Linked DNA regions of Elephas maximus indicus. The protein of the gene in region 2 interacts with the protein of the main gene of each other region in a pairwise test. Links are inferred from orthologs where the notes say so. Each region holds a gene or a part of one and is shown on either strand. Other genes may lie near its edges.

What was found.
Region 1: the proteins of PRKAB2 (region 2) and SPRY2 interact in binary tests that used the Homo sapiens proteins (3 or more experiments, as listed by UniProt). The link is inferred for Elephas maximus indicus from reciprocal best matches to the Homo sapiens genes PRKAB2 and SPRY2.

Annotation. Positions count from the first base shown.
Region 1 is NC_064832.1:73,732,610-73,740,505, forward strand, and holds the start of SPRY2 (protein sprouty homolog 2), read right to left. Parts: upstream 3,019-7,896; 5' UTR 2,351-3,018; intron 1-2,350.
Region 2 is NC_064821.1:159,056,572-159,063,486, forward strand, and holds the start of PRKAB2 (5'-AMP-activated protein kinase subunit beta-2), read left to right. Parts: upstream 1-3,911; 5' UTR 3,912-3,968; intron 3,969-4,365; 5' UTR 4,366-4,628; intron 4,629-4,932; exon of another isoform or gene 4,933-5,074; intron 5,075-5,359; 5' UTR 5,360-5,384; coding exon 5,385-5,540; intron 5,541-6,915. UniProt on the Homo sapiens protein: Non-catalytic subunit of AMP-activated protein kinase (AMPK), an energy sensor protein kinase that plays a key role in regulating cellular energy metabolism.

The DNA of each region.
Region 1 (7,896 bases), on a different chromosome or scaffold from region 2:
TTTCCTCCAAGAAATAGTTATAAATTTTACAAGCATGCCATTGTGTATGACTATATAACAGCACAAAGATATGGGATTAAAAACAAATCAATTCAAATACCATTAGGTGCAAGGAACACATTAAATCAAACTTACACAACAAGCAACCAGACAGGAACTTATTCTCAACCTTCCAACAACTTGAGAATCAAGGATCTCATAACCTGATAGCCTAGGAAAAATACCTTAGATTCTGCAGGCCAACGGTTACTGCATCCTGCTGCATATAAGAATTATGTCAAAATCTTAACCGATTTGCTTGTTTTCCAAAAAACTTACAGTTGAGAACATAAATCAACTGGAAGAGGAAAAAAAAAAAGCTTTAAAAATTCAAGTGTCACATCTTGAATTTAGCATTTTGACAAGTAATCCCTTTAAACTGTAATCCTTCTGTAAGTTTCCAAACTATTATCCCCCTTTCCATGATTTCATTAAAAAAAAAAAAAAAAAAGGAACCTTATCCAACCTCTCCTTTTCAGAAAACAGAACCACAGCGAACAGGGCAGGTGACACACGCCTAGCAATTCGGGAACAAGACAGAGCTGGAAGCCAGATCTCCTCCTTACCTCCAGCAGAAAGACAAGACAACGTTGCTCTCTGCTTTCATTCCATTTATCGGTTCTATCTGCGCCCCGACGCCGTCCCCAGCAGGTGGGACTCAGCCGGAACCTCGAGAGAGTTTTCTCCGAGCGGACTGACGCTGCCCAGGGGCCAGCCCCACCCCTTCCCACCGTGCACGATCCCCAGGCCGACAGAAAGGCGCGCGGGGTGGGGGGGTGGGGGGAGGCACGGGCGCCTCCAAAAGGGACGTGTCACGAAACGCAGGAGCACGCTTCCCCCGCCGCCGCTCCCATTACCCCAACTGAGAGCCGCCTTCCAGCCCCAAGAGGGAGCCACTCCACTCCTAGGCTGGGGTCACACACCCCACCGTAGGGCGTTTTTGAAAAGGCCCTTGAGCGCGGGACCTAAGTTTCCAGCACCGACGCGGCGAGGAAGAAAGCCCTGCCTAAGGTACACAGCCCTGACGCCCATACTTAACCTCGCGCGACTCCACGCTGCACTGACCTAAGTGGACACTGTATGCAATCTGCACACTATTATCTACTTTCGGTGTAGAGAAACTAAACACACACACACATTTCTTAAAGATAGAAATTGTTTTAAGAGTTTAGGGCGCTTTCCAAGGCGCCACTGCACTCGCCGCGCAGGCAGGACTTAGATGCCTGAGCTGCAAACATTCAGCGCAGATGTGACTGCAAGTTGAGAGCAGCATGTTAAAAGAAAGTTAAGTAGTCTTTTTTAAAGTGATTTCTGTCGATTCTTGGTCTCCTTCTTCCCAGTCTTCCCCGCCCCACCCCCGCCACTTAGTGCGTTCCCAGTCCCCCCAGCCCAAAGTGCTTTGAAACCCCCATTAATAACAGTGTGTGATCAGACTATGGATTAGGAGGAAAGGACTTCGGTACTAGGGTGGGGCAAACCCACAGAGAAACCGCTCTGTAAAAACACACAAGATACCGAAATTTAAAAATAGCAACAGCAACAAAAAAAATCAGCCCATCAGAGGAAATGAAAAAAATAGCCTCTTTTGCCACCCATTTTCAGATAATGGAAAATGATCGCTACCACTTGATGACTTTCTTCCTGTGCTGGGTCAGCCCAAGCTTCCAAAAATAAAACCATGACCCAGGCCGACCACGGAGAACGGAAAAAAGAGAAAGCGCCACTTCCAAACCGCAGAGACACGGCGCCGGGCAGGGAGACGCTCCCACCAGCACAGGGCTCGCCCCCGTCCACACCAGGCAGAGGCGGGGGCCTCTCTCCACCCGCGCACCCTCGGCCCGTCGGAGCCCTGCCTAGGGACAGCGTCGCCTAGGACTTGCCTGCCCAGGAGAGAAACAGGTTACAAATCCCCGCGCCTGCAAAGACGACCTGGAAAACACAAAATGCTTTCCCTCTCCCGGCTCTCAGAGTCCAATTCGCTGCCCTCGCAGGGCCAGGAGTTGATTCCTGAGAACCTGATCGTCGTCCCAACCCACCCCCCACCCTCCCGAGCGCGGGTGCGCGGGGTCGCCGGGCTAGGGAGGACGCGGGGATACTGCGCGGGGTGTGCACGGCAGTCCCCGCTGAGGCGGGCCAAGACCGAGTCCGGGACGAGGCAGCTACCCCTGATCCCCGTGGGGAACCTGCGGGGTTACAGAAAGGGAGATCCGAGGTGAAATGAACCCCACTCGCAGTCCAGCTGCACCTACTCCATGTTGCCCGCGACACGCCGGCCACGGAGCCAGGAGGGGAAGAGCCAAACGCGCCTCACCGTGATCGCGGCTTTGCACCAACTCCTCTCCCTTGGATTCTCTTCTAACTGCGATGTGCAAATAAATCCAGCCTCGACGCAAACTTTTTCCCCTTCTTTCCAAACTCTGTTTCAGTCCAACTTCCGAGCAATCGGCGGATGAAACGTAAAGAAAACCGGGTGCCAAGTCGCTATCCGATGAACACTCCGGTGTTCGGGGATAGAGTCGACCCCCCTTCTACAAGCGCACGCGGAGTATTTCCTCTTTTTCTCAATGAACAGGAGGCCGAAGCGCCAACGGCGAGTCTCTTTCCCTGGCAAACGAGCGAATGAGACAAGAAAACGGCCTTACAGAGAACCTAAAGCCAGATCGCCAAGTCGTGCGGTCTCAGCTGTGTCGGAGCGGTGGCGGCGCGGGGGCGCGAGTCGGGCCGGACGGGCGCGGGGGCCTGGGCGCTGCGCGCTCCGCCGGCCCCTGTCCTCCGCTCGCGCTGCGGCGCGCAGCTCTCGGCGGTGCAGACTGGGCGTTGCGGAGGCGCGGCGGCGAGGCCGAGCCTAGGGCGGTGGGTGCGGAGGAGGAGGAGGAAAAGGAGGAGGAGGTGGGCCTGTGGCCCGGCCGGGGGGGGCTCGCCGTTGGCCTGCGCCCTCGCCTTTCCGGAGGAGGCAGGGAGCTCTGCGGCCGCCGCGGCAGCAGTAAATGGCGTCATGTGGATCCGAGGCGGAACAGAGCAGTTGTTGTCCCAGAGGATATATCGCATCCGGTCCCAGCTCATTGGCTCCGCGGGGCTACATTCACTCACACTCCAGCGCCCGCCAGCGCTCCGAGCCGCAGGAGGCATTCAAAAGGGCAACCGCGCCGCCCCGCGCGTCCTCTGGCCGGTCTTGCAGCCGGGGCGCCGTCACGCGGGGCGCTCGCGGGGCTGGGCTGGGCACGGCGGGGTCAGTTTATCTAGTTTCAAGGAAACACTGACCTTAAGGTTTTCCCAGAGGCCATGAAGACGAGCCATAAGCTCGGTCTGACTTATGGAACTTTCTCCCCGCCACTAGGAAAGGGGAGTGAACATTTACAACTCATCCCAGCTCTGCAATGTTCGCATTAAAAACAAGTTGCATGCAGGTTTTAAGACTTTATCCGGAACCGACTTCAAGTCCATCTCTCCCCTTTTCTGTCCCCCCTCCTGCGGGGAGGGGGAGCAGGGGGAGGAGAGGGGGAAAGGAAGGGAGCGGGAAGTGAGGTGGGAGGGCTATTGGTTTATTCTTTGTCTCCCGGATTAACCCGATTATACACCAGGCACCAGCACAAACCGCCTCCCCCACCTCGGAGCCGAGTACGGGAGGAACGGAATGCAGATTCGGGCTTCAAGTCCCTTACTCTCTTGCCGGGGTTTGCTTTTGATTGTTTAGATTGGTAGTTTTTCTGTTTAATAGGTTTAATCGGTTTTGGTTTTAGGAGGGTTAGCTATAGATGGAGGCGTTCTTAATGATTGAAGAGCATTTTTAATGATTTGTTGGGTGCAAGGAAATTCTAAAATTTAAGCCTTCTGGAAGTAGTTAATTCAGTAATACTCAGAGCAACATCGTGGGCTTCTGAAATGGGGAGGGTGCCACTTGCACTTCAGGTTTCCTTCTTCACTCAATCAGAAGGCATCCTTCATTTCTGTGTCTCCTTGTTACCTAGCACACTTTTCAAGAAGATCCTATTGTCCGTCTTGAAGGTGAATTGTGTTTTCCCACTTAAGAATAAATAGAAATACAAAAATGTAAGATGCATGCATATGTTCGTCTCTGCTGTTTATTTACTTAGAAACGTGCTTCACGTGGAAGCACAAGTAGAAAATTAAAACACCAATGATACTTTATTCTACCTAATGTCTTACAGAAATATTTTCCTTTACAGGAAAGTACCTGCTTGTAGGGGTCAACATTCCTAACAGCACCTGCGAATTTGTCCCCATGCGGGGTGGGAGTTCTTGAAGCTAGAAAAATGTGGCGCTGGATTCCCCCAGTCCAGCTCCGGCCCACATCCGTACGCAGCTACCTGGCACTCGCTGGCTTCTCCAGAGCTCTGGGTCTGGGATGCCCTCGCACGTTCCCTGTCTCGCTGCGCTCTAGCCCCGCTTTCGCCTTGTTTCTCCAGGACTCTCCCCCGCCGCCCCAGGTTTGGAACTAGAAGTGGCAGGGGAAGTAGCATGCGTTATTTCCGGACGCTGGCCCACGTTCCCAACCTTATGAGTGGAGAAAGGTGGACGAGGCTACGTCCGCTTCCACCGCGGCGTCCCCCGGGCTTCCACCGCGCGGCGGAGGGGCCTCCCTCGCCCCCGCTACCCGCTGAATGCGGGAGTCCACTGAGCCTCCGGGTGAACTGAGGCGCAGCTGCGTTACGGCCCGACAGACCACCAGGGGGCGCCCGGGGGGGCGCAGGGCTGCGCCTGCTTTCTCCACGAAGCACTGCACTCGACGCGAGCAGAAGGGGGTTGCTTTCCAAAATGTGCGTCAGGCCGGCTGATTCAAAATGGAAAAAAAGAAAAAGGTGTTTATAATTTAAAAGCCACAGAAGGTAGCTTTCCTCACCATCTCTTCGGATCGCAGAGCGATTGCGTTTTGAACGCGAGGTGAGGTACTTAGGAAGGACCCTTGCTTTTACTAAGGGTAAGGTGCTGGGGCCACAGCCAGGTTGTGCAAAGCTGGTGGGACTGTGCTGCTGGCGTCTAGCTAACAAGGTTAGGGCAGAGCAGGTGAAGGAAATGCGTTTTCTTCGACCCTTCAGACTCCTGCACGGTGGCCGTTTCTATGATACAGTTGTATCTATGCCTTTCTCCCAGAGCTGCAGGAACTTTGCGAAGACACGTGGTCAGAAATCAAAGCATAAAATGGAATTTAAGTTAGGAACTTAAGGCTAGTTAAAGAGCCCCTTTAAAACAAAAAACAAAAAAAACTGTTTTTAGTCACTCTGACTCATGGCGACCCCATGTGTTAAAGAGTAGAACTGCTGCCTAAGGTTTTTGAGGGTGTAATCTTTACGGAAGCAGATAGGCCTTTCTTCCAGGATACCTCTGAGTGGATTAAAACTGCCAATCCTGTTTAGTAGTTGAGTGCATTAGGTCACGCAGGGACCTTAGAGCACCTTATATTTTTATTAAGCCAGTGGAGAAGAATCTGTAATTCATGTTTGTCTTGCATGAACTTGAAGAAATACCATGTAAACTAGCTCCCCTCTCCTTCCTGCGCACCCTCCGGCTTGCTGGCTGGGAAAACATTCAGCCTGTAACTTATGCACAGAGTTAAAACAAGAATCTGTTGGATTCTTTCTCATTTACTTCTTAGTCTTTATTTTAATTAGTTCAATTATTATTTTTTCAGATAGTGAAGGGCGGAGAGCTATTTTTTGTGCTCTAAAGGTTACTTGTAGTTCTGGTGGTGTAGTGGGTAAGAGCTCGGCTGCTAAACAAAAGGTGGCAGCTGGAATCCACCAGCTGCTCCTTGGAAACCTTATGGGGCAGTTCTACTCTGTTCTGTAGGGTCACTATGAGTTCGAATTGACTGGACAGCAATGGGTAGGTAGTAAAGTTCACTTGGCGAGTTATAATCCAAAAGAAGAATACAATATGAGGTGTTTAGTGCAACCATGATAATGTGTCCCCAAATTGATTCCCTTATTGCGTTCCGAAATACATAACTTGGATTAACGTTGTGAGGTATTGGAGAATCATGATGGAATACTAGATAAAACTTCACAATGAAGCTCATTTTCAGGTGTGTTGTGGAAGGTTCTAGAGAGGCCGTCCTGATGCATGAACAGATGTTCTTATTTGCCTAATGTTGAAATTTACTGAAACCATGGAAACCTGTGCTGCACCAATACCTCCGAGTCATTGGGACTCACCAAGTAACGTGCCTTCCTACTTCTTGCCATTGAAGACTGTGTACCCTACATTTGGGATTTCATCTTTGGCTTCATTTTATTTTCTCTAATTCCTCATTTATTTGTATTTGCTTTTGTTTTATTTTATGACTATAATCTTCTTCTTTTTTAAATTTTTTTTTAAACCAGATCAGTGTAGAAAATGCATGTCAATTTTGCCATCTCCTGTCTTGGGTAGAATGTGTCTATGGGGCCGATGTAGACAGGATTCTTTGCTAGTATGTGTGTTGGGTGAGTTAAAGTCAGGTATTATCAAGGTTGCACTTGGCCACTGATCTAAACTTCTGATTTATGCCCTAAACATGGAGGCACTATGAGTCAGAATTGACTTGAAGGCAACTAGCAACAATAACAATAGAAGAATACAGTTTTAAACAAATCAACATCTCTAGTTCTAGCTTCTGAAATTGCTCAAGCCACTGATTTCAGCCTTAGAACTTGATGTTGTTGTTACTGCTATTTGCCTTGGGGGCAGCTTTGACTCATGGCAACCCCACGTACCATAGAACAAAACGCTCCTCGTGATCACTGGCATGCTTAAGTCCATGGTTGGTTTGCAACCTAGGGGGCTTATCTTCTAGTTTTATGTTGAACAGTATTCTGTTTTGATCCATAGAGTTTTCCTTGGCGAGTTTTCAGAAGTAGATTGCCAGGGCTTTCCTCCTAGTTTGCCTTCGTCTGGAAGCCCTGCTGAAACCTGTGCACCGTGGGTGATCCTGCTGGTATTTGAAATACCGGCTGCATAGCTTCCAGCATCACAGCAACACGAAAGCCACCATAGTATGACAGACTGATAGAAGGTGGTGATGGAACTTTATAACCAAAGGAAAATCTTACAGTAATATGATGCATTCTTGAGGAAAAAGAATTAGTAGCTATAGGTTGTTTGGTTATTTTGTTAGTTCCCTCACTAAGGTTATCTGCACACGCATTTCAAGATGCACAAAACACAGCAGTGTGTGTTGCTCCCAGGGGTAACAATTTGAGGCTTTCAACTATTAGATCTCATCACATTCCAGTTGTAATAATAAAATGAATTTAAGCACAAACACTTTAGTAACCTCCCTGAGTTAAAGAGCTTTGTAGTGATGGACCTTCTGATTTGGCAGCCGGGATGCTTGTCGTTTCAGTTTTTGAGCTGCTTTGGCTCCCTAAATTCTGTTGATACGGCCTTTGGGGGTGAGGGGTGGGGGAGATTCAGAATGGCTGCAATAAAATATGCAAAGGAATTCAAAACAGATCACTTAACTATTGCATTCTTAACTAGTTCTTTTGGAGGACTGGAAACAATTCATCTCCTGATCTAGACTTCTTGGGAGATGTTCTTCATCCCTAACTAAACTGGGAGAAGGATCTGGCGTTTTCGTAGAGCAAGTGGGCGGGGGGGGGGAGGTTTCTGTCATTTTGAGCCCATGTTAGAGTTGACCTTGGACTAAATACTTCCGTTGGTCTGGGTGTTTTTTTTTGCAGAGATCTTATCTTCAACCTGAATCCATCTCTTGGTTTCCACTGGTTACTTAATGCTAGATTCATGCACATTCTTACCACAATTCATGCAAGGTCAGATGTTCTGTAATAAGGCTGAAACAGAACAACTGGCCAACATATTTCTCACATTATATTTCCAATATACGTCTTCCTTGAC
Region 2 (6,915 bases):
TACTTTCCTCTCCTCACATTCACATTTGGCATGTCAAAGCCCTAAATCCAGCCACTTTATTGGCCTATCATGGACTCATCTGAGCTGATGCATGACTGCCGAAATCTTACTGAATAGTTATTAACTCCCAGGCTTGATTTACAAGAATGTATTTTAGAGAATCCTGATCTTATTTTGTTTGTAGATCAGTCATATCTTAAACCATCCCCAAACTCCTCCAAATTTCAGGCTGGCTATCCAATAGTCTCCCCTACTGACGTAATAGAAAAGGAACCTCTCCCTAAAGCCACCTCAACCCAGCAAGCAGAGCTATATGCTCTGACCCAAGCTTGTGTGTTAGCTGAAGGCCTAGTAGCCAATGTTACTTTGGACTGTCAATATGAGATTAAAGTTGTACACAATATTGGACTGTTATAGGAACAAAGAGGACTTTTAACATCGTCTGGGACTGAAATTAAAAATAGCCAGCTCATTAAAGAACCATTAGATGTATTATTATTACCTAAAAGCCTACCTATTATTAAAACACAAGCCCACCAAAAAGAGCTTACTTCTGTGGAAATGAAAGGAAACCATTTCACAGATCATATGGCAAAAAGACAGCTACCTAAATTTGCGCAAATAAAGTTATACTGACAGAAATAATTGGACCACAACTTAATGAAATTTCTCTATTTTCAAAGGATGATTTAATAACTGAACAAGAAAATGCAGAACTTGAGAAAAAGCTTTATAGACAAAGGAAAGATGCACAGTAGACCCAATATCTGTGTAATGAGTTGAACCAAATAAGAGAATTGTCCTTCCCTCATCCTTACAGTATCCAATGCTTCATCTATTACATGAAGCTAGTCATTATGCTATAGATAAAATGATACAAATTATGCAAAATTATTAAAATTATTAGTGGGGTAAATTTCAGAAAGCCACTACAGATATTCACAAGGCTTGCCCCACAAGTCCTTTATTCACTCCTGGAAAACACTGAAATACTCCTTTGGTCATTTTCCACAACCCTGAGGGCCCATGTTAGTATGGCAAATGGATTTCATCCAGTTGCCCCCTTCTCAGGGTTATCAATTTGTTTTAATAATGATTTGCATGCTCTCTCACTGAGTAGCTCTTCCTTGCAGAGAAGCAACTGCCACTTTTGTAGCAAAAAAGGTCTTGGAGAATATAATTCCATGTTGGGGTGTGTCATGGATTGAATTGTGTCCCCCCAAAATATGCATCTACTTGGTCAGGCCATGATTCCCAGTAAAGTGTGGTTGTCCTCCATTTCATGATTGTAATTTTGTTAAAGAGGATTAGGGTGGAATGGTAACATCCTTACTAAGGTCACACCCCTGATTCAATGTAAAGGGACTTTCCCTGGTATGTGCCCTGTACCACCTTTTGCCTCACATGAGATAAAAGGAAAGCAAAAGCAGGCAGAGTGGGGACCTCATACCACCAAGAAAGCAGTGCCAGGAGCAGAGTGCATCCTTTGGACCGGGATTCCTGTGCTGGACTGACCCAGTGGCTGCAACAGTGGGCTCAAACGCAGCAATGATTGTGAGGATGGAGCGGGATGAGGCAGCGTTTCGTTCTGTTGTACATGGGGTTGCTGTGAGTCAGAACGTACTCGAAGGCACCTAACAAAAATGATGCATGTTGACCAAGACACTAATTGAGACACAAATTCTTCCAATAATGTATTTTGAAGGACATTCTCAGTGAATGTTTAGTTCTAAGTGTCCATAGATCATACCTATTTGGGGTCAAATTGGTTTTTTTAATTATTTCAAGACAGTGAGCTCCACCAGAGCAGGGGCTTACTTAAGCAGTCTATGCTTAGCACAGTCCCAGCAAGTACTAGGCTTGAAATAAATGGACTATACATGTTATTTCAAGAAACACTAATATTTAACCCGAACTTCATTTTAAAAATGAGGATATAATCATCTCTTCTGCCTTCCTTCACAGGTTTTGAAGATCTCGTAATATAATTCATACGCAAGTTCTTTGGAATATGAAAGGCAGATAACAGTACTAAAGTGGACAGACGGTTATATTTTTTATTGAGGCATGATTTTCATACAGTAAATTTCACCCTTTTCAGTGTACAGTCCTGTGAGTTTTGACAAACGTATACACCACTATCACAATCAAGATATAGAACTGTTCCGTAATTCCCCTCCCAATTCCTTCATGCCCCTTTGTGGTCAACCACTCTTCCCACTTCTGACTCCTGGCAGCCATTCATCTGTTTTCTGACCCTGTTTTTGGCTTTTCCAGAATGTCATATAAATGAAATCTGGCTTCTTCCACTTAGCATAGTGCATTCGAGATTCATCCACGTTTCTGTGCATATCAGGAGTTTGTTTCTTTATTGCTGAGTGGTATTTTATCTGAGTAGTATTTTATTGTATGGCTATACCACATTTTGTTTACTGACTCACATTTTAAGACTAGGAGGAGAATAATCAACATAAATCAAAATCCCCACTGTTCACTTTTCTGCCCCTTCTGTTCTGACACCAGCTGCGCATGCAGCACTCCTTCCTCTGGCTCTAACCATCCAGAGCTAGGTCAGAGCTCACAGATTAAAGGGCACAGTCCTCCAGACTAAGCTGGCCCAAGATCACAGATTCCAGCCACAATCTTGGAAGTCCCTAGGGCCCCCTTCACTTCTGACCTGCTGGTTACAAATTCAGGGTTTTCCCACCACCCCTTGTAGATGCCAGCTGCAAGCTTTGGGGTCCCCAGCCCCCTCACTTCTGATCCACTGGCTCCCACTATTCCCTTGGGTATAACACTTCTATGGAAAAACTCATAGAACTCACAAAAAGCACTATACATATGATCATAGTTTTATTACAGGAAAAAAGCACACAAATGAAGAGATGCATAGGCTAGGTCTAGGAGGGGTGCCAACACCAAGCTTTTGTGTCCCAAAAAGGGATGCGCTACCCTCCCAAGTGTATCGATGTCTTTCATCGACCAGGAAGCCCATGGAGTTTCCATGTCCAGAGCTTTTACTGGGAGTTGTTATGCAGGGTTTATCTTAGGAATTAATAGAGGCACACTCAGGTGCGTCATGCATAAACTCATTTAGTCATGGCAAGACATGTAAATAAGACCTCAGAACATTCATTCAGAACCACAGAATCAGAATTAACAATTACAATGTTAGCTCAGTGATTACAGTCCAAATTTTTAGACTTTAGGACATCTCAGGAGGAAGGCTTACTCACTGTTCAAATTCGGCTTTGAAATATAGTAGAATAATTTACAAAAACAGTTTCTTTCTCTTAAATAAATTTTCTGTAGACTAATACTATTATAAGGCAATACATATCAAGAACATATTATTTAGCAAGCAGAAACCACCCAGGGGTTAGAGAACAGAATAGTGCACAAGTCAAGGGCCTTGTTTCAGAATCCTACTGGAAGGGATGAAAGAAACTAAGGAAGGGGATGTTGTTGGGTGTCATCAGTCGATTTTCAACTCACAGTGGCCCCATGTGACAGTAGGACTACCCCATACAGTTTTCTAGGTTGTAATCTTTACAGGGGCAGATCACCAGGTCCTTCTCCCTTGGAGCCGCTGGGTGGGTTCAAACCGTCAAACTTTGGGTTAGCAGGAGAGCTATTAACCACTACATTACCAGGGCTCCTTGCGGGAAAGGGTAGGGGTAAACAAATAGGAGTTAGTCAAAATTTAGCAGTGAGCAAGAGGCTGCAGTAAAATTGTACCTTTTTTTTTTTTCCTGCAAATTCTTTGGTTAAGGGCCAGAGAATGGCTGAGTTTAGAAGGGGCACAGCAAGAAAAGATGGGGGAGGAGAGGATTTGTTGGAGTCAAGCAGATGTTCAACTTGATATAAAAACAAACTTTTCCACAAACAGCTGCTCACTCAGAAAAGGTGGACTTGGGTGGCCCATCACTGGCTGTGATTAAGCCTAAGTGGCTTATCTTGTTAGGAAGGTAAGTAAACAGTATCCCTGTACCCTTCACTCTGCAAATCTTTATTAAAAGCTTACTTAGATTATTAAAATCTGGGGCCGGGTGAGAGGGACGGGAAGAAAGCAGCACAAGGTCTGGCGCAGAAAGGCTGTGAAGAGGAATTGAATCTGATCTGCCCTACTGAGTTGTCAAAGCAGTGCTTCTCACACTTTAATGTGCACACATATCCCCTGGGAATCTTGTTAAAATGCAGATTCTGATTCTCAGGTCTAGGAGGGGGCCTTAGACGACGCCAATGCTGCTGGTGTGTAGAACACAGGTTGAGTAGCAAGTTTCTAGAAGGGAATGAGAAATGCATATAATTACAATACAAACACTTCTTCTTGTCCTAAGACTAATATTTTCTTTATTTCTCAAGGTTTATCTCATACTTCTTCAAATATTCCCTAGAGCCCCAATCGGCTCACTGCTCCTTCCTCGTCGATCCTACAGCACCCAGCTCAAACCTCGCGCAATTACCACTACCTCCTTCTGCTGGAATTGGAAAGGAAGCCGTTTTCTAATTCCCTATAGGAGCCCACCTCTTCGGGATCGCCTCTCACCAGGACGCAGCTCAGAAAACGTTCTGACGAACCTGGGCTGGGTGAGCGGGACGGGAGGAAAGCAGCACTGCTCCTCCAGGTACCAAACACTGGAAGTCAGGGAAGTGGCCGCCGACTATCGTTCATGGGCCGTCCTCTCCGTAGGGTAGGCCCAGCGACCGGTCTCACCAGCAATCCCGGTTGCAGCACCTCGTCCTGTGCGGCGGCCCCAGCCCGAAGCGCCGGTGATCGCAGGGCTGGGAGTCGGGCGCCCCCGCCTGGCGCTGGAGGCCGCGCGCGTCCGCCCACCATTGAGGCGGCGGCGACGGCTAGAGAGGCGGCCGGCCCCGGGGCGCCGCGGGGGCGCGGCCTCAGGGAACGTGTGTGGGGCGTGCCCAGTGCTACTGGCCTTGTAGCCATTTTAGGAGGAAATCCGGATCGCTACCCCGAGGCGCGGCTTCAATTTCAATAACTTTATTGGGGGCCTTATCCCGCAGAACAGCCATTGCACCAGCGGTCCCGGGAGGAGGGAGCGCATCGCGGGAGGTGATTGGGGTGGGGGATGTTTGCAATGAGGGCAGTGAGCGCGGGGATGCGGGGCAGTTCCCGAAAGCGGATTTCCTGAGGAGGGGGGCGGTGAGGGGACCTAGGGATTTAGGGGCGCTCTTTTTTTTTTTTTTCCTAGAAGCTAGAGAGGGACGGGATCCCTGGGCACGGCTTCCCTGGGGCGGGGATTCCCTGCTCGGGTCCCAGGGCGCAGGGGCGGGACCGGCGTCGCTCCTGACGCAGCAGCTGGGGTGTCCCCTCGCCCCATGTCGTTCCCCGCGGCAGGTGGCTCCCGACTCGAGCCGCAAACATGGGAAACACCACCAGCGACCGGGTGTCCGGGGAGCGCCACGGCACCAAGGCTGCGCGTGCCGAGGGTGCCGGCAGCCATGCCTCGGGCAAGGAGCACAAGATCATGGTCGGGAGCACCGATGACCCCAGCGTCTTCAGCCTGCAGGACTCCAAGGTTGGTGGCAATGCTTCAGTGGGCTTGGTTCGCGGGCTCCTCCTCCCTTTCCTGGTTCGTTCTCATCACACTGACTTGGGTTACGGTGTTTTGAATCAAACGGGTTTTTCAGGGTCACAGGGTGTTGATGGTAATTTCTCTTGCGGTGCTGCCTCAAAATAGGATGAAGAAACAGAGCTCTTATTTTTACGGCTTTCTGATTAATCTTTTAGTCACATTTTTAGGATGAGGGATAATAAGCCCCCACAGAATCCTTGGTTCTAAAAGGCACGGTTGCTCACTTCTAGACCATTGCTAAATTATGAACTGTATGTAAGCCCTAACGGAGAACTTCAGAGGGTAGGTTGCCAGAATTGCTGACCATAGGTGACAGTTTATCAGTTTGTCCTGAAATAGGTAAATATATTTTCTTTTTCTTGAAAACTTCTATGTGTTTGTATCATTTTTGCCATAGGAGCTTAGCACACCTGTTCCTCTTCCCCCACTGGTGTGGCTGTTAGCAGGAACCCATTGCTTATTTGAATAATCGAGGAGCCCAGGTGGCACAATGGTTAAGAGCTCTACTGCTCACCAAAAGACTGGCGCTTTGAATCTACCCAGCCGCTCTGGGGCGATCTCCTCCCGTAAAAATTAGGGTCCGGAAAACCGTATGGGGCAGTTCTGCTCTGTCACGTGGGGTCACTCAAAGTCGACTCCACTGAATCTAACAACAAGAACAATCCTAATTTGGGGGACCAATAAAAGTCATCATTTGGTCGACTAATAAATTTCATCCTGTACTTCACAGTTGCTATTGGCTGAGGCTGCGCTTGCTTAATACCCAGCTGCTTCTCATGGGAAAGCAAATGATTCCTGGACTGCAGGATTTCTCCACTTCCCAGTAGTACCTCAGAATGTTGCCATGGCTAAAAAAAACGACAACCCACAGTTGCCCTGAGACCTCCTTCTCAATTCCAAGGCAGCAACTTGTGTTCATCCTACAGAAAGGACAGATGGGCATGACAGCATTGTGATTACTATGCTAATGTTTCCAATCACTTTAGAGCTTTCCGCATTAAATACGTTCATCCAGATAGGCTGACTGGGCTGAAATAGAAAAATGGAGGGATTGAAGAGAATGGGATGTGTTTCTTATTACCTCATCATTTCCCACAAAACTGGAGTTTTAGACAGTAAATAGAGTATTATCTGCCACATAGGTAGCATGAAATTTGGAGTCTATAGTTTGTGTATTTCCCTGGAGCCCAATTGAGAAAATAATCACAGAGGGAGAAGTCCAAAAAAAAAAAAACCAAACCCACTGCTGTAGTGTCTGTTCTGACTTATAGTGACCCTATAGGATGGAGTAGAACTGCCCCAGGGAGAAGTGAGGGTA